3 linked regions of the Rhinolophus ferrumequinum genome follow. Each later gene encodes a partner of the first gene's protein in a complex. Links are inferred from orthologs where the notes say so. Each region holds a gene or a part of one and is shown on either strand. Other genes may lie near its edges. The genes, in order: CPLX1, VAMP2 and SYT1.

Evidence for each region.
Region 2: the proteins of CPLX1 (region 1) and VAMP2 are in contact, whole or in part, in a crystal structure (PDB 1KIL), measured with the Rattus norvegicus proteins. The link is inferred for Rhinolophus ferrumequinum from reciprocal best matches to the Homo sapiens genes CPLX1 and VAMP2. Residues at the interface, in NP_074055.1 of Rattus norvegicus: Leu41, Arg48, Tyr52, Glu56, Arg59, Glu60, Met62, Arg63, Ile66, Arg67, Tyr70, Gly71, Ile72; in NP_036795.1 of Rattus norvegicus: Arg47, Val50, Asp51, Leu54, Asp57, Gln58, Ser61, Asp64, Asp65, Asp68, Ala69, Gln76.
Region 3: the proteins of CPLX1 (region 1) and SYT1 are in contact, whole or in part, in a crystal structure (PDB 5W5C), measured with the Rattus norvegicus proteins. The link is inferred for Rhinolophus ferrumequinum from reciprocal best matches to the Homo sapiens genes CPLX1 and SYT1. Residues at the interface, in NP_074055.1 of Rattus norvegicus: Val61, Met62, Gly65, Asp68, Lys69, Tyr70, Lys74; in NP_001028852.2 of Rattus norvegicus: Glu271, Thr383, Gly384, Glu386, Thr406, Leu407, Gln408, Glu412, Met416.

What each region holds. Positions count from the first base shown.
Region 1 is NC_046288.1:87,805,719-87,812,950, reverse strand, and holds the start of CPLX1 (complexin-1), read right to left. Parts: upstream 3,076-7,232; 5' UTR 2,916-3,075; intron 1,614-2,915; 5' UTR 1,541-1,613; coding exon 1,510-1,540; intron 1-1,509. UniProt on the Homo sapiens protein: Positively regulates a late step in exocytosis of various cytoplasmic vesicles, such as synaptic vesicles and other secretory vesicles.
Region 2 is NC_046304.1:10,826,894-10,834,301, forward strand, and holds the start of VAMP2 (vesicle-associated membrane protein 2), read left to right. Parts: upstream 1-4,404; 5' UTR 4,405-4,556; coding exon 4,557-4,558; intron 4,559-5,059; coding exon 5,060-5,180; intron 5,181-5,660; coding exon 5,661-5,819; intron 5,820-5,915; coding exon 5,916-5,967; intron 5,968-6,558; coding exon 6,559-6,575; 3' UTR 6,576-7,408. UniProt on the Homo sapiens protein: Involved in the targeting and/or fusion of transport vesicles to their target membrane. Major SNARE protein of synaptic vesicles which mediates fusion of synaptic vesicles to release neurotransmitters.
Region 3 is NC_046293.1:72,725,893-72,733,587, reverse strand, and holds the start of SYT1 (synaptotagmin-1), read right to left. Parts: upstream 3,003-7,695; 5' UTR 2,612-3,002; intron 1-2,611. UniProt on the Homo sapiens protein: Calcium sensor that participates in triggering neurotransmitter release at the synapse. May have a regulatory role in the membrane interactions during trafficking of synaptic vesicles at the active zone of the synapse.

The sequences.
Region 1 (7,232 bases):
CTGTCTCGCAGGTCCTGGGGCATTTCCGTTTCTGTCTTTTTCTCGGTCTGTTTCTGGGCTGTGTCTTCTCTCTCCAACTCCATACTCAGACCCCGTTTCTCTGGCTTCACCCATCTCTAGACACTTTGCTCTGTCTCTGTCCCTCTGTCTGTCTCCCTGTCACTCATGCGCGTCCTGAGAGCCCACAGAGAGGAAGCACAAAGACAGAAGGAAGGCCTCTCCCGGAGGTCTGACGCAGCCCCCAACCCCAGGCCAGTGAATGGGGGAGCAACACCCAGCCTGGGGCACCCCACGGGTCTCCCCCTCGCTCCCACACCCTCAGGAAGCCCGCTGCATCGTCCCTGCCACAGGAGAAACTTGGGCTGACATGGAACAAAGGGAGCGCAGACTGGCAATTACCCAGCTAATTTCAGCTGTGTAGACAGCCAAATCAGATATTGCAGTTTCCCTGCAAGCCCACCTCAGGGCCTGAATTAGCTGCCTAATTAATTATCTGCACCAGCCTGGGGCTGGCTGGGTGGAGCATGGATCCCTCCGCCAGGACGCTGCCGGCCCCTGAATCCCATCCCGGTGACGTAATCATTATAATCAGACTCAACCTACAGCCTATCCTTGACCAGGAAACCTCAGGGAATGTGGCCCCCGGGCCAGGCCCAAATGTCTTTTCTTTTCATTTGTGTTGAGCAGAAATGCAGCCATTCTCTAGGACACAAGCCCACAAGTGGGGCACAACGCCCCCCACCTATGGCCAAAGCTCCCGGTTCCTCCTGACCTCGCACCCACCAAGACGGTGTCCTTGTCACGTAGCACCTGACTGAGGCCTGGCTGTGAGTGGCACCACATCAGGGTGTGGCCACAGAGGCCGTCCAAGGAAGCCATCACTCACGGCGATGTGGGGCGCTGCCCGCAGGCTCCCGTCACAGGAGCTCGGGCTGGGACGCACGGCCTGGGGTGACGCATCTGTGCCAGTGTGGCCCACTGCCAGCCAGTGGGGGGAGCCACGCCCAGCCTGGGACACTGCCCAATGGCCTACTGCCCACCCTCCCCCACCCCCCACACCCCCGGGCTCAGCCCACCGTCCTACACCACCTGCCTCTCCTGGGCTGGGGGTCTGGCCACAATGACGGTCTTCAGCCAGGTAGGCACAGGACTCCCTTCTAACAGGAGTCAGCTGGGATGAAAGAGGGTCCCTCCTCTCTGCGGAGGGGCTGCGTCTCGTGTCCCTGTGCCCAGCCAGCCCCGGCCTCCTGCGTACCCTGCTGCTGCGGCCACCCCCTGACTCTGCCCACCCTGGGGTGCCACCGGTCCCACGTTAGTGCCCCTGAAACCCACCCTGGGCTGTCTGGCCGAGGCTGAGTGGGGCCCTGCTGCCTTGCCCTGACCACAGCATTCCAGCGCACATTCCGCCAATCCCAACCCTGCCCCACTCTGCCCAGATATGTGCAGCCAGCTGAGGGTGACCCATGTGCCTGCCTGGCGACCAGCTCGGTGCAGCGGCCCCCCTCCTACCTCCCAGGGCCTGTTTCATCACGAACTCCATGACGATGGCTTTGATTCCTCAGCAGCTCCTCTGAGGGTCCGAGCTCACATGCAAGTGCGGCTGAGTCCTCTGCCTAGGGGAGAGGAGGTGGTCACGGGCCGCCCCGACTGGCTGCACTTCCTGCCCCCCTTCCCCGAGCATGGGCCTGCAGTCTGAGAGCGCGTCATTTGCTGGACCCTGGCACTGGGAAGGGGCACCTAATAGGGTCCCTGTGGGGGGAGCTTTCACCCCACTCCCTGAATAGGGCAGGCAGATCCCAGGACTACAGCTGGATCTGCAAAGGGGTCTCACCTGGCCCCTGGGGCTTCTGAAGCCAGCTTTCAGCTGCTATTGCAGGGTGGGGGGTGCTCACCACTTGGCAGAGCCAGCTTGTGAGAAGCAGGGGCAGGCCCCAGGGGCGTTTGAAGGTGACTGGCTCTGCTGCCTCCCTGGGGGGCCCTGGGCCATGGAGGGTGGGGTCAATCTGAGAAACAGGGTTAGGGTAGTGGGCCCTGAGTGGGTGCCCCTTCAGGGAGGTCCCTGTGGCTGCTGCTGGAAGTGTTGGGAGACTAGGCTTTACCCAGGGAGAATCAGTACCCACTGCCACCTGCCCACCACAGAGATGGGTGTGGGAGAACCAGCAGGGGGCTCAGCCTTGTGGGAACAAATGGAAATGGGGGGTAGACCACCCCTCCACCTGCATCTCCAGGAGTGGGACCTCCTGGGTCCAGGCCAGCTGGAACTCTGGTGGGGAGATGCTTCCTGTAAAACCTGCAATTCCCCCCCACCCCCGTGATGTCTCTCCTGGCAGGGAAACCCAGGTCCCTGCAGATCCACTGTTTTGTGGTTTTTCCTCTCCTTCCTCCGAAGGAGACCAGCGTGTGTGCGGGTTGGGGAGGGGTGGCAGCGGGAGTGGCCCCCTCCCGCAAAGCGCTGGTGCGCAGGGGTGCCTTTGCCGCAAAGCGGATTCTCTTCCAAACTTCTCCCCTGGCCCCTGGGGGAGAGGGAACCGCAGGGCCCAGCCGCAGAGAGGCCGGGGTGCTGCTAGAGCTCCCCCAGGGGCGGCAGGCTGGGGGTCCCGCCTTGCCGCACTCCGGCTTTGCGGGCGGGCGAGTTGCCCGGCTTTGCCGAGCGGCCCTCAGGCGGGAGCGCGCCAGGAAAGAGAAAGAAAGAGACAGAGGACGAGGGAGGGCAAGGGGAGACACGAGAGGCAGGAGACTCGGAGAGCGAGCAAGGAAGAGGGAGGGCACGGGCCGGGACCGCGCGGGCCGTTTCAGCACCGCGCCAGCGGACAGCGCCCGCCGGGGCCGAGTGCGCGCCCAGCCCGGCCGCGGAGGTAGCAGGCAGGGAGGAGCGGCGGGGCCGGGGAGCGGGGTGTGCGCGGGGCTCCGGTTACCTTCCCGGAGCCGGGATGAGGGCGAGCGGACGGGCGGTCAGCGGCGGAGCGTGCTGGGGCCGGCCGGGTCCATGTGGCGCCCTGGAACTGCGGCGGCGGCTGAAGGGCACGGCGAGGAGGGCGCGTCACACGGAAGCGCTCCCCGCCTCCCGCCTGCGTCCAGGCGTGACGAGGAGGGCGGGGCCGAGGCGGCTCGGCGGGCGCCTGCGGGGGGCGGGGGCGGGAGCGCCGGAGCCGCACCCCCGTCTCCCCTCCTGAACCCTGCCCCGGGACGCATTCCGGGGTCCCGGGGCGCGAGTCCTCCGAGCCAGTGCGCGTGACCGTGACCCGCTCAGCAGTTCAGAATCCCAGATACCGTGGCCCCGGAACCGAGATCCTCGGTGTGGACCTGGGTGGGGGCCGCCCTCTCTCCCAGACGGGGTCCTGCACCCCTCTCCTGACGGGAGGAAACCTCGTGAGCGCGTGCGGGACCGACACGCCCGACCCCCCTGGAAGAAATCCTTTACTCGTCGGGCCGGCGCGGGGAGGGCCTGGGGCTGCGGGGAGCTCCGCCTGGGCTCGCACGTGGAAGGGTTCCCCGACCCGGCAGAGCAACCCGGAGCCCACGGCCTGGACCCCGCCGCTCTCCCGTCTCCGCGCATCTCTGGGCGGGAGAAGGAAGCCCCCTACTCCTAAAAACCCACCCGCCCCCTGGCGGAGAGAGACCAGCAGACCGGCCCAGACCTATTTTTCAGTGTAACCGTCGCAGAGAGACTGACCCCGCCCCGCGGACAGTCCGCGGCCCACGGCGGGTAGGGGGCGTGAAGGTCACTCCGAACAGGCCGCTCCGCCCCCGCTGTCCTCGCAGCCCCGCCCCCGCCGCGCCTCCCCCACCCCGGAGCCTCCGGGACTGCCTCTGCGGCGGAAGCTGCACTGCGGGGACAGCCGGGTCGCTGCAAGGTCGGCGGCTAGACCTCCTGTCTGCCGCCCCTCCCGGGGGTTGGCCGACGCGGCTTTGCGGCCCCTGATCGCGGCTTCGTTGAGTCCAGGAGTCTCAGAGCCACCAGGGCCGGCTGCCTGGTCGGTGGGTGGACACCCCTGGTGACCACTGCATTACCTTGTCACCGCCCCCGCAGAGCTGAGTCACTGGCTCCCTGGGCCTGGGGTGGGAGCGGTGGCTCCTGGATCTGCCCCTGCCCCTCCCCTGTCCCGGGAGACCCTCCTCCTGCTCCTCTGCCCACCTCTGCTCTTACCGGCCTGGTTCCCCAGTAGGCTCGCATCTGCTCCCAGGTCCCACCCTTGCTGACCCTCTCCAGACCTACCTGTAACCAGTGGCCTGGCAGGGGCCCTCAGCAGCCAAGGAATGAGGGATGGAGAGGAGCGCAGGGGGCTGCTATGGCCCCTGGGAGTGGTGGCCCTGGGGAGGCCCACGTTCCAGGACACAGCTGTGGGCTCCAGGGATCCCAGGGCGGTGGAAAGTGGCCTCAGCACTATCCATTCCTCCTGCTGACATGTCCTGTCGTCTAGATCTGGGCCAGGAGGTGCAAGGTGGGAGTGCTGCTCAGAAGGGTGGGCCTGGGGACAGGACAGACAACTCACGCCAGGAGTGCAGGGAGCCCTGGTGCTGATCCACCCTGGCTGACCCCTGAGAATGTGAGAAGCACGTTTCTGTTTCATTCTTCACGAGAGGTGGGTCAAAGCCTCAGGCCTTGTGCAGGTCTGGGGACAGGTGCTCTGTGGAGTGGTCACCCATTTCCAGATGTCTGAGGATCTTGAGAGTCTGGCCTGAGCCCCACTCAGGGTGTGGTCAGTCCGGCCCTTCTGGTGTCCTCAGAACCCGGTAGTGGGTAGACAGGGGAGAGAGGTAGGTCCAAGAAAGTGAGAAGTCACTTCTCACTGGAGCGTCTTCCCTTCACACCCACCCCAGGTGACCTGGGAGTGACCCACAGGTAACATGCTGACGGCAGCCCCACAGAGGACCCCAGAGCAGGCTCCATGACCAACGATCCTACTTCCCCTCGAGAGTCACCTGCACGGGGACACCCCACTGACCTTAGGGCGGCCAGGCTGGGCAGGTATGTCCCGCACAGTGTCAGGGGAGAGCAGGCCCCACTGAGTCCAGAGCCTCGGGCCTGGCTGAGCTGCACATGCACCCAAGCCAGGCGCTGTGTGGCAAGGGATAGGCTTGGGCACGGATGACAGAGGCCCTCTGCCACTGGACCCTCCACGTTTCTTAGTCTCCCTCTCCCTGTAGGGTCACCATCTCTCTGTCTCTGTTGTTGCTCCTCTTACACTCACCACACACAGTGGGCCCTCAGTTCTCACTTTTGCTCAGGCCCTGAGACCCTCCCACCCAGGGGGAAATAGACAAGGTTGGTGACAACCTTGGGTCAGAGTGACTGGTGCTCTGGGAGAGGGAGGCCAGGCAGCTATGGAGCGTGAGCAGGACTGGTGGGCCGTGCCAGCTCTGGGCAGGAAATGAGTACATAGAATGCCCAGGAGCAGCTCTGCCCTCGTGTCTTGCTCCCACGGGGCCACGGGTCCACACCCGGTGGAACTCGTGGCCCTGTGTGTGTCCTGGAGAACAGTCTCCAGACCTGCAGCGAGCAGTAAAGACCCATGGGAACTAGTGGGAAACTTGTTAACAGCTGAGAAAGGCTGAGCCAAGGGCTGAGAAAGGCTGAGCCAAGGGAGGCGCGTTCAGCAGGCAGAAGACCCAGGAGGTGGCTGGGGAAGCACCTGGTTGTGGCTACTGTTCAAGGCGGTTCTGGGCGCAGAGGAGGTGAAAAGAGTCAGATGGGGAAGGAAATGGCCAGGGAGCTGGAGTGAGGGGGGAGGGTGTCTCACCAAGACGTCAGCATCTGGGGCCTCGGCCAACCCTGGCCAGCTCAGCGTCCTGCACGCTCTTCAAAGCACTGCCCTCCAGAAATCCGCCTGGCACCCTGACCCGAAGCAGGGTTGTGCCAAAAGAAGCATGGTGCTGGGTTTGAGGCCCCTGCAGTCCAGTCGCCACAGCAGATGGCAGAGAGAGGTGGCAGCCGCTCTGCTCCAGCTCCTACCCTGCCTTTCTGGAAGCGGCTCCTGGGCCTCCTTCTGCTCCCGCCAGGGAGGCCTGGCTGACGCCTGCTGTCCATCTGTCTCCTGTGCCCCCGGGCACCCCCCTGGGAGTGCTTTCAGGGAACTGTTCTCCAATCCTGGCGTGGGGGCTGAGAGGCGGCACAGGCTCCTTGGGTCAGGCTCACCCAGAAACTTCAAATGCAAACTTAGTAACTTGACAAACTGAGTAATTCTGTCCCAGCACTGCCACGGGTTTCCTGCTGGATTTTATTATTAAAAAGGTAACAACGTGGGCCGGCTCGGTGGCTCAGTGGTTGGAGCACCAAGCTCCTAGTGCTGAAGTCGCCAGTTCAATTCCCACATGGGCCAGTGAGCTGCGCCCTCTACAGCTAAGATTGTGAACAACAGCTCTCCCTGGACCTGGACTGCTGTGACCAGCCAGAGGTTGGCATGTGCTGCTGTGGGCTACTGTGTGCTGCTATGAGTGGCCAGTGGCCAGTGTGAGTGGCCAGCAGCCGTGAGCTGCTGTGAGTGGCCGACCAACGACTGGTGACCGACTGCCTCAGCCGGGGAAGCGCAAGGCTCATAACACCAGCGTGGGCCAGGGAGCTGTGTCCTACACAACTAGACTGAGAAACAGAGGCTTGAACCGGAGTGGGGGGCGGGCAGAAGAAAGGGGGGGGGAAAAGGTAACAATGTGTGAAAAGAAAAGCAGCTGAGCCAGGGCAGTGCCTGGTCTCCTGACGCCGGGCTCGCCCCCTGCCCAGACCCCAGTGGTCCTGGGGATGTTCAGCTCCCCCTCAGACCTTGCCTGGTCTGGGGATGCTGAGATGTCCGGTGCCTGGTCAGGCTCACGTGCAGAAGTGCACTGTCTGCCCCACTGTCCCTTTCCATCGAGGCCCCCAGGCTGCTTCTCAAGATGCAGACACGAGGGGCCTTGGTCCCCTCTTCCCGAGGAGCCGGTCCAGGATCTGGGCTCAGAGCACACGATGCCTCCGACCCCTCTGCCCACCCTGCTCCTCTCCCCACTTGTGCCCCTGCTCTGCCCCAGAACCCAGACCCCACGGGGAGACCCACACCCCTCCCTGCTCCTGGCACATACCTCCACTCCCTGGCTCTTGGCTGGGCCAGCCCCCACCCGCTGTCTCTTGTCATTGCCCAAACAGTCCTGTTACACACAGCACAGGGGCCACCCAGCGGGCACAGCGTCAGACCAGAGGTGCCACTTTCCGAGGTACTCACAAAGGGGCCTGAGGAGGGCTGGGGCGGCCGTGAGGCCCT
Region 2 (7,408 bases), on another chromosome or scaffold:
ATAGGATTGAGGGTTGATTGATCATGGCAGGTATTTACAACCTCCCTAAGAGCACTGTTGTAATAGCAAAGAACAAACAGCAAAACTGGAAACAGCCTAAAATGCTGGTCCTTGAGAGACTAGGTAAATAAACTGTGGTAAGACTTCTTTTTAAACATGGAAGATTGGCCATGAGCATTTGTCTTCTCTTCTTTCCAAATGTTAACTAAGTAACAGGAGAAGAGTCAAGTATAAATCAATAAGTACCAAGAGACCAAGAGAGAAGACAGCTGCAGACCAAAGGTTTCAACAAGGCTTTGGAGGCTGGGCAGCAGCCAAAGTATGGTGACAAACCAAGTAGGGCAGAAGGAATCAGGAGGACATGGTGCCCGAAACCCTGTGGGTCTCCAGACCCTGGGTCCAACCTGGCTGAATGCAGGGGTGGCTGAGAGTCTGTGTTCAGTGTTAAGGCCCCTGCGGCTCCCTCACCTTTTACACCCGAGTCACACATACCACCCTTCCCTCCACATGCTCATTTCCAAGGACGCTTTGAATTTGGGGACACTAGGCCCAGCAGAGGTGAGAACGGAGGCTAGAAACAGGAGCCCCCACCCTGTTTCAGATCCACTCCCCCATCAAGGGCAGGGGATGGAGAATGGAGGATATTGTTCTCAAAAATCTGAATGGCCCCAGAGAAAGCCTGCCACCGAATCAACACTTGAGAGAGTCCCCCTGAAAAGCAAAGCTGATATGATAGCCAATGAATGCTCCTTCTGCCCCCCACAGCTTTCAATCATCCTTTTGGTGGCTCCCTATTAAATATGAACAAAGTATCAGCCAGCATTTGAGGAAAGTCTCTAAAATGAAAGAGAGACACTCCCATATACAGCATCACAAAAAAGAAAACAACAAAAAAGAGCCAATCAAAGAAATCTGGAAGAAACAAATACTAGGGAGCAAAAGTTAAAACAAACAAACAAAACCAATCATTGGAAAGTAAAACAAACAGAAGGGACAACTCAATACATATAGTCTGTTAGCATTTGTATTTTTAAAAAGGAAAAAAGAATCTACAAGTATGGTGTTTCCCGAAAATAAGACCCATCTGAAAAATAAACCCTAGCAGATTTTTCAGGATGACATCCCCTGAACATAAGCCCTAATGCGTCTTTTGGGGCACAAGTTAATATAAGACCAAGTCTTATTTTGGGGGAAACACGGTATTTACAAGACTGGAGATAGCAAATGTGTCAGGTATGGGTCCTGAGCAGCTCAGAACCAGGGTTCACTGTACATTCCTTTGTACCTTCTGAATTTTGATCGTGTTACCTATTACCTAGTTTAAAATTTAATACTGGATTTAAAAAATATCCTCAGAGAGATGACAGAAGATACTGCATTTTTTTGAAATGAAAAAAATAAAATAAATATAACAAAACTTTTTTTTTTTCCAAAAAGGAGGATATATGAAACTGTCCAGAAAGTAAAACAAAAAGATAAGTGAGTTGGGGGGGTCACCAAGGGAACCTCAGCTTTATGTGTAATGTTTTAATATTTTGCAAGGAGAATGTAGTCATATTATTTAAGGTAAAAACTGAGCATATGTGGCAATCCCTGTGAAGCCTCTCGCACACAGTAGGTCTCTGGCAGTTTCTCTTCCCTCCATGATGAGCCCAGGGCTTTCTGCAGCCCCAGAGCCTTCCTGACTAGAGGGCTCCGCCAGAGGTTACAGGGTTTGAGCAGGTGACTGTCATGGCAGTGAGGCCAGCCCCTCGGTCCCCATTCCAGGCCGCATTCTCGAGGGCACGCCTCTTCTGTTTCTAATTAGAAGGCTTTGATTTACAAGTTGCATTAAGGGACACACAAGGTCTCTGAAATTATAATTACCAGTTTGGTCATGCTTAACTCATGTGCATGGAGCAAGTTCCCATGAGTCAAAGTGTGGAAACGACCTAGGCCCCTTCTATCCCAACTTTTCAGTCAGTTGTGTTAGAAGAGGGGAAAAAAAAAAAAACCTTTATAAAAGATTTTCTCTGTGCCACCTACATCAGAATCACCAGAGTAAGTACTTGTTACTCACTTGTTAGATGTGTACTTAGGCCCCCTCCCACATCCTTTAAGCCTTGGGAGTGGGGGCCAGAGATTCAGCTAACAAACCCCTGAAGCAGGTAAATGTAGAAGCCAGATCTCATTTATGCAAATATATTACCTTATTTTTCTTTAGTTCGAGTTACCCCTATTTGGCTCTCCATTCTACCTGCTTGCAGAAAACATTCTCTTATTTATTTCCAAGTGAGCTCAGTCATCCCACCCCTCCCCCTTCTCCTGCCTCCACCATTGATCTAAATTTGGGGAGTTCCTTCACCCCAAAGCACATGTTTGTGGGGGCCAGGATGAACTGCTCAGAGTCCTCTCTCTGAGATAAATCCTCATGGTCCCTGCCTCCGTGGATCACACTTTGCTGCGGCTGCCCCCAGCCTCCTGGAGTGATAGCAATGTGCCAGCTTTCCAAGCCACACCCCATGGCCTTGGCTACCCAACTTTACTCCGGATTCTGTCCCTTCCATGTCCTGGATTTGGCCATCTGGGGAAATGGGGATCACTCCTAAAGCAGTGTCTAACGTCTTGTCCTCCACTAGCTTCTCCACAGCTAGTGCAGGGTCTTTGGTCAGAGTAGGGAGGCTCTGCCTGTTTGTACCTCTGTCTAATCTTCCCTGTCCCAGACACTGATACTGCGGCTTTTGAACTTAAAAGCTAGAATTTGGTATTTTTGTTCTCTGGCTAGAGAGTAGCGTAGTTTCAGGGCCTGAAAGCCAGAGCCAGTGCCCCACGCTGTGATCTGAGGCCCTCATGGAAGCCACTCTGTTCCTCCTTTTCACATAGGCTGAGCCACCAGACATTCTGTATTAGTGAGTGCACAAGGACCAGTGAAGTGGCCGCTCCTAAGAGAAGGAGGGAGCTGACAGCATCTTATCTTAGACCCAGCACACATGCTCCCTGCTCACTCACCTCCCCCAGACAGCTGGGAAATGACACCTCTGGTGACACAAGCAGTCCCCAGGCTTCTGTTGGGAGGGAGTGGGGCGCTGCAAGGGGGAAGTTCTCACCCCTGGGAAGCTGGCTCCTGTTTGTCTCAGAAGTCAACACCAGCCTCCCCTCCTCCCCTTCAAGGATACAGTGAGCCCCCCCACTAGTGCTCCTAAGATGTCTCCTTCATTCTTTGAGACTTGACTTCACCCACGCCACCGGTTAGGCAGCTTACCTGGTCCTGTCTTCTCCTCGCTGCAGTGTCAGAGCTGCTGGGAATGAGCCCGGTGGGCATGTCCAGATGCTGGGTCTGTTTAGGAGGCCTAAAGCAAGATCAGTGAGGGATGAAAGGGGCCGTGGCTAAACTCCTCCACCATGTTCCAGATCAATCCATATAAGAAATGTATATTTAGAGCCCGTACAGCTAATGTATTTTGGGTCCAGAGACAGGACAGGAACTGTCCAAGGTCACACCTATGAAGCCAATCAGCATGTAAAGTAGTACCATGTAACCTGGATACTGCATGCACCCCCCCTTGCCTACTGTTCTTTCCAACTTAAAAAAAAAAAAAAAAAAAAAAACCCAAAACAAAACAAACAAATAAAAAACTGTCCCTTTGGGCCTAGGCCCTGCGCCTGGGGAAAAAAGGCTGAGCCCTCCTCCTGAGGCCGGGCTAACAATGGGCCAGAGCTAGGTTTTGGCCAGTTTGCAGCCATCGTGTGAAGTAGCCCCAGGAAGCAGCCTCAGAGTCCTCCTCCCTGGGGCCCTAAGCTTGCCCTACCTCAGTCGGGCCTGGCTTGCCAAGTAGCCCTGGTCTGAACTCCAGTTGTGAAGTGGAGCACCTTTCACACCCGCAGTGATTTGGCTGGGGTGTGGGGGAAGAGCCTGCCTCATCTCCTTTCCTTTATACCCCCCTATTCAGCGGCCGGGGGGGGGGGGGGGTCTCAGACCTCCTTCGAGACATCCACCTGCGGGGTGATGGATTGGTTCCCAACTGCCGTCACTCCACTCCACCTCGGCAGCAGGGTCCCAGCTATTCGCATTGTTTCGGGATCGACACCTGCCTTTTCTGATTTTCCACCTCCAGCCCACGCCAAGGGCTGAAGGCGGGTTACCAGGCGTTGGGAGTTGGGTGAAGGGTGAAACCTTGAGCTGTGTAGAGTGCAGACTGAATGAAGTTTCACTATAGGAGGGAGGACGTGGTTTGGGGGTGAGAGGTGCCGTGGGGTGCGAGTGGCAGAGGCGTGGGGATGGCTGTGCGGGCTCTGGTCTAGCAGGGTGGGAAAGCAGCGGGCGCACGGAAGCCGCAGGAGTCAGGCTGCGGAAGGTGCAGAGGCTCAGCGGGCACGCCCCGCGGCCTGCCGCGCCCCGCCCCCACGGCCCGGCTCGTACCAGTCGCCACTGCGCCCCGCCCCCGCCCCCGCCCGCAGTGCCCGGATGTGGGTGACGTGCAGCCGCCATCTTCCCGTCCCCGGTAGCCAGCGCCAGTCGGAGCCAGCGCGAGCCGCCATTCTTGCAGCTGCCAAGTCCTGCACCCGCTGCCCCCGCCATGTGAGTCGGTCGCCCTTGCCCGCCTCGGGCTGGCCTGCGCCCGGCTGCCGCCCTGGGGCCGGGGCCCGGGGTTCGGCCCGCGTCCCTCGCTCCCCGAGGCCAGGCCGGCGCCCGTGACTGCGCGCGGGCAGCGGGAGAGCCCCGCCACCCGGGCTGGCCGCGCGGGCGGTGGCCGCCGGAGGAAGTGGACCCGGCGTCCGCCCGCCCCGCCCCTGTCATCGCTGCCGCCGGTCATTTCGGGTCGACCCTGGACCAAGTCTGTGAGGTCGCCCTCATTTGACAGGCGGGGAAACTGAGGCCTGGAGGGGGGAAGGGGCCCCACTCAAGGTCATGCAGCTCTTCGGCGGCGGGGCCAGACGGAATCCAGGGCTCCCATCGGCTGGCTTCCCTCTCGAAAAGGAGGAAGGGAGGGACGGTTGGATGGACAGGCGGATGGGCGGAGTCCTGGCTGCGGGGCCGAAGGCTCCAGGCCCTGGGTCTGAATCCGTCCCTGCCCCTCAGGTCGGCTACCGCTGCCACCGCCCCCCCTGCCGCCCCGGCTGGGGAGGGAGGCCCTCCTGGGCCCCCTCCAAACCTCACCAGTAATAGAAGACTGCAGCAGACCCAGGCCCAGGTGGATGAGGTGAGTGGAGTGGGCTGGGGGGATCCAAAGACGGTGGGAAGGGCACTGAGGGTTGGCAAACCAGTGTTGGGGGGTCCATCTTGGGCTGGGGGTGATGGTAGTTCACGTTTATGAGGTTTGGGACAAAGACATACCATGCCCCATCCCTGTAAGCATGCACTTGTAAGGGCCTTGGAGTGTTAGCTTGCTAGTCCTAGGGTGTTTCAGCCTGGGCAGGTGTGCTCTGGTGACGGGCAGGCTACTTGAAACTGGATAAATAGAGGGTGCTGCTATGACATCTGAGATGTCTGGCTATCAGCATGCCCCTGATGTGTACTTCTTGCATGTCCCCAGGTGTGCTAGGCTTGTTCTGTGTGTGTCCTTGGCATGTTAGCCTGGCGACATCGGGGTGCATGTTCCATATGTGGGCATGGTGGTCGAGGAGTGCCCTCATTGAGGCGGGCCTTGGCATACCCCCTGCCTCGTGGACCCCTCCTCCAGGTGGTGGACATCATGAGGGTGAACGTGGACAAGGTCCTGGAGCGGGACCAGAAACTGTCAGAACTGGACGACCGTGCAGATGCACTCCAGGCGGGGGCCTCCCAGTTTGAAACAAGTGCAGCCAAGCTCAAGCGCAAATACTGGTGGAAAAACCTCAAGGTAATGGTGGAGGCACGTGGGAGGGCAGATAGGAGGACTGGTGGGTGAATGGGGAGTTTGTGGTCGGTCCCCTGACCCCTCTCCTGTCACCCACAGATGATGATCATCTTGGGAGTGATTTGCGCCATCATCCTCATCATCATCATCGGTGAGTAGGGCAGGAATGGCTGGGGCCCTTTCTTTGGAGAGGTTTCCCTATGAGTTCGGGGTTCTGAAGGTCATTAACCTAGTTTTTACTATTCATCAAAAAGCATATATAGCTGCCAGTGGCAGTTCTGATTCATCTAGAGCTCCACACCTTGATTTTGTTCAGCCTGCATTTTGCCTGGTTCTGGGCAATTCTGTTTCGATTTTTGGAAACGAGAGCTAGTGGATCCCCACTACTCCCTTGAGGACTCTTTGGGCCTGAGAACCCTGAAATTGGGGAGTGGGAGAACAGGAAAGGCCCATAGGCTTGATATATGACTAGGAAGCCAACCACCGAATTATTTAAGAGCTTGTGGTCTCAGAGGCCCAGAGGATTTGGGGTCTGTGGCCCTAAGGCCATACCATGGGGTTGAAGAGACCTTGGAACCTCCTGTCCAACCCCTTTGCTTTACAGGGGAGAACCCAAGGCCCAGAGGGGAAGGGATGTCAGTCAGCTGGGGAGTGGGGAGGATGGGAGCAGGGCCAGGCCTGACACACTGCTTTCTCTCTCTTTCTCCCCTCTCCCCCTTCATCCTTCTTTCCCGCTCTACAGTTTACTTCAGCTCTTAAACCCCCGAGGAGCCTGCCCTGCCCAGAGAAGGGCCTCTCCCCCCCATTCCCAGCTGCTCCTCCACCTCTCAGCCATATCTTCCAGCCCCCCATCCGTGTGTGTCTGTGTGTGTGCCCCCCTGTAAATAGCCAGCTGTTATTTATACATATATAATATTATATATATTTGGTCTGTTTGTAGTTTTATTACTAGAAGATTTTTCCGGTTGTCCTTAACACCCCTTCCTGAGGTTCCCGTCCTTCCTCTTTCCCTCCTTCCCGTTCCCTCTTTTCCTTACCAGCCCCAAGTCCCTTCATTTGCATCTGCTATGCAATAGTCCCTCTTCCTCCCTTCTTTCCTTGGACTTAGCTGACCCTTCCTTCCACCCTGGCCTTCCCCATACCCGCACCCCCCCTACAAACAAGACAAAAAGCAATTGTCCAGGCCTCCCTAGGTGCATCGTCTGTGCATCATTTGGGAGGCTCTGAGACTGGCCCCACTTGGTCCTATGAATCCCAAGGTCTGGGAGTTTCCAGCATGTTAACTAGCATTCATTTGCACACTGACATCCCTTTTGGTTTCCTTCTTTTTTGTTCCATCACTCTTTGTTTTTTCAACCCGTCTGTTTTTTGTTTTGTTTTGTTTTGTTTTTTTTTTACTGAGGAGTTAGTCCCCATTGGTCACACTTTCATTTGCATGACATTACTTGTAGGTGGTGGGGAGCCTGGGCTTTTGGGGAACCAGGCTGCTCTGGCCCCCAGAATCATCCCCTCCTAGCCCCGCTAGTCTAGTTTGCCTCCCCTACCCCCATTTTCCAAGCCTCTTGTCCCCTCCTCTCCCTCCCTCCAGCTGG
Region 3 (7,695 bases), on another chromosome or scaffold:
TCTCCATTATGAAATGGAGTTTTAAAACTACTCTGCAACAACTCTCCATTATGTAGTATTTCATGGAATTAGTATGTTAGGACTTGTCCTGTATTTTAGCAACCTTTACTTCTGATAAAAAATATGTTAAGTCTAATTGCCATATTTGTCCTGTAACATTAATAAGATTTACAAAGCTATGCTTTTAAATGGATAAAACATGAAGATTGTATGAAATTGTTTATACCAGAACATTCTATGTGATGACAGTAATAAGTCTCTCCTCAAGCCACTCACTATTGGGACTATTGGAATTAGTTCTGACTTCTAGTATATATACAGACTTAATTTTTCAGAAGTAGGTGAAAAACTAAATACATACATATCTTTTACATGTCATTGCTGTATTAACATTTGTAAAGAGTCATGAAAATAAATGTCACAAACCAAGAAGCCTAAACTTTTACGTTCCTAAGACAGTGGAGAAATACGCAAACAAAATCTTATTTTGTTCACATGGAACACACTTGATTTCCTTTTTGTACATCTTTTCATGTCTAAACTTGTTAATTCAGTTGTATACACATGAGGCAATTAAGCAATTGTCCTTTTGTCCTTGGAATGAAAAGGTGGCACCTCTAAAAATTAGAGTTAGCTGTCAACAGAGATACTACATTAAAAGGAAAAAAGAAAGAACATTAAATGTCAAAGCTCTAGAAAGATCTTGCTTTTTGTGACTCTCGGTAATTCTACTTAGAAAGAAATAAGTGCATCAAATGGAAAATGGTTGAGAAAATAATATTCATTACATTGATGGTAAATGAAACTAGCTCTTCTCTAAGTTGGTGTATAAAACTGATGTGCTAGGATTATGGTGAAAAAATACTTTCTGGCGTGCATAGATTAGTTGAGGAAGACTAGGAAGAGTTGAGAAAGAAGATTCCCTTTTCTTATCCCAAGTGGACAGGTTAGAAAAAAATGTAAGAGTTTGGCATTTCCCCTGGTAAATCAAGGAAAGAATTTATCTGGACATACTAGCATCTTCCAGCTTCCCTACACTCATGTAGGACCCACTTGGAATTGCTTCCCCATTAGATTCAACTAGGCACTTCTCTCTACTTCCTCCCATCTGACAGTAATCACTTAGATACCTCTGATGCATAATAGGAAAGGAAAGCTTATATCATTGATGATGGAATTGGAAATTGCTTGCAGCTGCCGTCAAGCCTCTGTCCCACAAGTATTTGTACTTGACCTATTATACAGTCAGTCAGGGTACATAGTTGTTTTGCTATCTTTCTCTTTCTTGAGAACAAAAACATTTCCCCTTTAAGATTTTTAAAATTTGAGGTTATCTTCCTACCATGACTTTCTAAAACTTTGTTCCAGTACAAGAGAATTATTGGCTAACTGAGCTTCCATATGCCTTCTAAATAAAGCATGTAAACATGATGTTTATACAGTTTCAATCTATTAAATATTCTTATTAACAGAAAATAAGGCAAGACGTGAATTTGATATCCAGGGCAATAAAATGGCAAATAGATAGTAGATAGATAGAATGAAATGACAATGTGTACACAAAAGTAGCTTTAGCACAAAAGTTAAATGGTTGCTGTATTTCACCAAGGGGTTAATATTACAGAAAGTGAAAATCAACATGTCCACAAAGCTAACTAAATTAGCTTTCTTAAAGTAGAAATCCAAGCCTCCTCATAATCCTGGTGTCACTTACAAATGTTTGAAACTTTACATTTCACTTTTTTTTTGCCCCCCCAACACAAGGCCATACCAGAGAACCTCAGGAAAGTAATAATCTGTTTTTAATTTTTTTCTTTACTCGAGAAACACCTCAAAGTTCAGATATTACCAATGAAGGTCAATACCAAATAGTCAGCCCCACAGGACAGATGGACACAGGGAAAGTCAGATGGTTGACACTTAAAAACAACAGCAGTTAAGCAGTTGAATGTGGGTTGGATCAGTGGTTTATTTTTGTTCCATTGGAACGAATCGAGCGAGAGACATAGCCTCTTGCAAGGAGATGAAGTCAAACTTGATGCTTCCCCTCTCTGACAGCCCAGGCTGGATGGCTTATCTACTTGCTTCTTTGGGTTCAACTGCTTTCTGTACTCTAATTTTCACAGCGGTTGTATTCTATCTTGTTTTTCTTCTCCCCCGGGCAAAAAGAATTCTTTCTTCCTTCACCACCCCTTTCTTTCCTCTGAGGAAAGGCAATCCTCTCCAGGAGGAGCAAGAAACCCTGTGCGTGCTTAGGATGGGAGAAGGGTGGAGATGAAAGAGATTGAGGAAGGTGTGGAGGGAGGTGAGAGATTGAGACTGGAGTGGGGGATAAAGGAGGGAGAACGAGGGAAAGAAAGACGGAGCAAGAAGATGGGGGATGCCCACCATCAACTCCAGGCTCTAAATCACCGGCACTGTGCAAAGTGCTTTTCCAGGAGATGCACATGTGGTCTCATTATATTTCTCACAATAGGCCACCCGGGGCTCCCTCCCCAGGTCTCAGTCTCCCACCACCAAAACCCATGTGTACCGAGAACACAATCTTGCAGACAGATTCAAACAAATAGGCACCACCTAGGTGGCCCCGCCGCCAGTCCCGCGGTCTTACCTGGAGGGAAGACTAGGAGGAGGTGCTGGTCTCTGTCCCCACTGCTTTCCCCGGCGGACCCGTGCAAGGCACACACGTCTGCTCGCTGCCTGTGTTCTTGGAGGGGCAGCCTGTAACACAAAAGGGGTGTGTGGGTGTGGGTGTGTGGGAGGTTTTCCAGGGCCACCAGCTGGTCCCAGCTGGCCGCCCCCACCCTACACACACCCCTTCGGGGCGCTGAGCCCCCCTCTCCGCTGAGGACCACCCTGGGGGGTTTGCCCGGTGCAGCCTCAAGTTGCTGTCTCTGCTAAGTAGTGCTGCTGCCGCCGCTGCAGGAGGAAGTGGAAAGACACTGGGGGCAGCACTCGGTCTAGAGCATCCCCACACTGCAGCTTCTCCAGGAATCCCCTCCAGTGAGGAGGCGGCCGCCCATCATCTCCCAGCCCCGGCCACCTGATTGGTTCCACCTCCGGTACGCTCTGCCGAGGAGCCAATCCAGGCGCACTAATAATAGGTGGATCCGCTCAGCCAAGATCGCCCTTCCCAGTTCTGGTAGTGTCTCTCCATCCCCACAGCGGACAGGGACCTGAAGAGGGGGTTGGGGGAGGGCTAACGGGAGGGGAGTGAACAGGAGGGGGACAGAGCCCAAGGAGGACGCAATCAGGGCATCCGATATACCCTTTGGGGTAGGAGCAGGGATGCCCCGAAACCTGTTCGGGAAGCCCTATGCACGGGAGGAGACAGCATAATACAAAGCTTTTTTCTTCTTTTTTTTAACTTTCAATCAAAACTGCCCTGATACTGAGCATGCCCAGACTGCAAACAGTGCCCTAGGAGTTCCGATGTGTGTGGGTTCGCAAGCTGTGGGGTTTTGAAAAGGTGGGAAAGGGGAAGGAGAGGCAGAAGTTTTGTCTTGGGTCCTTTGACCCGACAGAGTTGTGAAAGCAGAGCAGGACTGGGGGTATGAAAGGATTCCGCACGAGTGCCCACAAACGGAGCCACCGGGAGGGGGCCCTCGGGGCTACTGGAGGTTCATGATATTATTTGGTCGGGGTTCGGGGGTGTGGAAGGCCGGAGGAGAATAACCTGAGCGTTGCTTGATGCCCGGAGACTGATCGCGAAGGGTACTGTGGGACCAGAGACGCTGAGGAAGCTCGTGCTCACAGTTGGGGCCGGCGAGCGCGACTCCACCCAGCAGGCCGAAGCTGCGAGGCCGGGGAGCGTACACTGGAGTTTCCACTGCAGTGACCAATAAGTTTGGAGACTTGGGTCAAGTACGACGTTGTTGGGGACTGTTTCTGCCAGCCTCCTCCCACATCTCTCTCCACCCTTTGCCAGCACAGTGACGACTAAAGCGTGGGTTCCCTCCCTCCTTCCTCTCTTTACCCTAACTGGTTCTGCTCGGAAAGTAAGAAGCTTTTCTCTTCTGAGAGCTGTGCTGACCTGATTGGTCTCTAAGCTCTAAGGCAGTTTATAGCTTGGTAATACGGACAGATACCAAACTGGGAGGTTCAGCGAGTGGGGGAAGGGACAAAGAGCAAGGCGAGGGGCGGGAACAGACCCAAGCTCCAGGTAGGAGCAAGTCCATTCTCTGCTCCACAGGTGAGAAGGCTTTTAAAAACGCAAAGAAATATTTCCCTTTCCCTCTCACTGACCTTATCTGATGGTCTTTGAACCTCTGATTTGTTTTGCTTAGAAAAATCCTAGCAGTTTGTGTACAGTTGATCAATAGCTACAACTGAGAACCTCCCTAATTGGGTTCTTTTATTTTACTGAGAAGATTATCATGGCATCTCAGGTAAGGAAATAAATAGCTATCTCAATTCCCCAAATCCTCCACTATGAACTGGGAGTTTCATTAACACTGGTTTGCAAAGGTAACTGTAGCAAGAATTCAATTAACAGTAACACATTTCTTCAAGTTTTAATTAAACCTCTCCTATTTATGTAATGTTTAAGATTAAATCCTTATTCTCAGTACAGAGAAAAAGATGACAACCTTGATATAAACGAATTCCTTTATGACAAATAATTGTGTATTTGAAAAAAATAGTAACTTTATGTAAATATGGATCTTCCATTTTCTTATCTTATTTTAGACTAGTTTCATAGTTGGAGAAAGGAGATAATAGACATTAGTTTAAAATCAATTTCAAGTACTTGATGAAGAAAAAGGAGGAAGGGAGGAAAAGGAGAAAAAGAAGAATCAACTACCTCTGTAATATTGTTTTCTAGTAAATGTCTTTGTATGAGAGGATTAGTATAATGTCCACCTAATAGACATCTTTAGTCTAAATATACTTCTAGCACACTCCCTAGATTCCAATAATTAAAAACTGCATCTTTTAATAGCTGCACCCAGTAGCTACATGTAGAAACAAATAAACTTATTTTAGAAAACATGAGTAAGTAGAATATGAATCCAGATTAGTTATCTCTGTTTCCACACTCTTATCTTATCATCAGTATTTTAGCCAATTTCCCTGCCTTCTATCTTCACCGCCTACCCGACAATCACTCTCCCTCAGTGGTCAGGATCCTAGACAGTGGGATTGTGTTAGATGCTTGTATTCCAAAGTTCCTTGAGGGAGACTGCTGGATAACAAGAATGGGGTTTACATGTATCTTGCAATTAATTTTAGAATAACATTTTTGTTCATGAATTGTTAAAACTTTACTTACACAGTGGATGTAGATACACTTTAGTTTTTGCAAGACTAAGATTTTTATTCTCTCTCCTGTGTGCTCCCCGAGTTCAAGGAATGGGCTGGATAGCCCCACGTGATACTGCTGGGTTGACATATGGTACTTTTCTGTTGCAGAAAGTATATATCGTCTTTTTCCCTTTATAACAGACTCCATCTTAATTAAAAGACAGATCAGGTCAATTGTCTTTTTTCTCTTTATCCCATTTCTCAGGTACTTTTTAATCTAGAATCTCTGTGTCCTATGCTATGGAGATTTAACTGATTCCCTGGTTGTGTATTTTTTTAAAAATTATTTGTGATTTCTAGAACTGATTTAATCTATTTTGTTTAATGTTTTGTTTCCTCATTTTTTTGCCTAAAATCCCCACTTTTGTTAGCTTTCCTTCACAGTTTTGCTTTGATTGAGATCCCATTGTCATCATTTTCTTTATTCCTTTTCAATGGATTCATCTATTTACAACTTTAATGTTCCCTTTGCCATCTATTTTAGGCTACAGGATCAGAATAGAAACTAAATTGGATTGGGGCACTGAGGAGAAAAGTGTGTCTTATGGCAAGAGTGGGAATTAGAGACTCTAGAAACAAGAAATTCATTAAGTGCAAACTTAGGCAATGTTTTCTGTAGACTACAGAAAGAACACATGAGAGGTACCAAGAAAATACTCCATGTTGGTGGAAAAGCTTGTATATCCTAGGCAATCAATCAGTGGTACTAAAGAGTTCCATTTAATCAAGACTCTCATGTATCATTAAACTTTATATCTTTAATAACCACCCTAGTTTTCTGGTGAAATCTATTCTGTAAGTGTCATTGCCTAGGGTTGTGAAAGAAATAACAAACTTTTCTAAATTTTACCTATTGTTTATATAGATTTATATCTTATTATTCTTTTTATTTTACATCTGTACATTTTCTGGCATTGCCTTTCAAGATCCAGGCTTTTTTGTTTTATTCTTTCCAGGACAGACAGAGGATTGATTAAACGCTTGTTTTCTGGGGCAAGAATTTGGATAGAACTCCAGCTTCAAGACTAATTGTTTATGTGATCTTGAAAAATGTATAAGACCCCCTCCAAGCCTGTTTCCTCTTCTATAATAAGCACAAAATAACAAGTACAATATATTCTGAGGTTTTTTGGTAAAGATTAAGTAAAGCTGTGCATAAGTGCTAGTTCCAAGCACAAAGCAAGGACTTAATGATATTAACCATTATTATTATTTTATCATTATCATTGCTGCTGCTACTGCTGCTTCTCTTTTTCATATTCCTAGGAGATTGGATTTCCTCCTATCATCTAATCCATCTAAGCCTATAGTGAGGTATAGTCACAATATCCTCTTCACCTATGATCACTGAGGTAGAAGAGAGTTAATCCATGTTTATAAGAACTTGTCTGTACATAAAATGTCAACAGTCACCTATTTTGCATGTCTTGGTCTTAGACTATAATCTTCTAGGACATGAATAATTTGATTTTTAGAGAATTTGTATTTAAATACTGTTGTTTATTGAAAGTTTCTATTACTTTTTAAAATTAAGAAAATTCTAATTCTAGAGGTAAAAAAGTCATGAACACCTATGTTTTTTGTTTTCTAGCAAAAAAAAGATGGAGCCATCCATTTTGGTTTCCCTTCCATTTCTTTCTCTCGGGATCATTTGGCCTGGCAGTACTGCTAATCATTTTATAGCCAACTCGTAAGGAAAACACATCAGGGCTCTCTGTAATCAGAATTAGATAAAAAGAAATTAACCACATGGATTTTTCAATTGAACACCCACGGTGTAAAAATAAAGGAATCTAGAATTGAGAGAGAGAAAAAAGAAAATGAATACAGATGGGAGTCAAGTCTCTAGGGCAGAGAGTAAGAACCCCATAATTGAACTACAATGCTTTACAATTTCCCAAGAAAAGAAAATAAGAGCTAGCAGTATTCAATGTGGCTTACAAAAGCCTTTTCTTAAAGTTATGGCTAAGAAAATATTGGAAATGAAAAGGAGGACAGTGACTCAAAAAGTAATATACTGTGTCAGGCAGTTGAGGTTAGCAAGGAAAATATTATTTAGGTGAATCTATCTCAAGGGCAAAATAAAAGTAGTTTGAGCTAATGTTAGCCAAAGGTCTTAGAAAGAAAACAAATGATATATCTTTCAAATACTCTATCATACAAGGAATATACTGTGGTGAAAACAAGTTTGCTAATAAAGCAAGAACAACATTAAATTTTATATTAATTCCTTTTAAAATCAGAGGGAAGATTTCTATTTAACTGAACATGTAGAGAATTATAGTTCAACTGCTTCATTCAATTTATGTGGGGGAAAAAAGTGGGTCCAGATTGATTAATTCACTTTCCGAAAGGCATAGAGATAGATAGCTAAGTTAGGGTGGGGTAGGG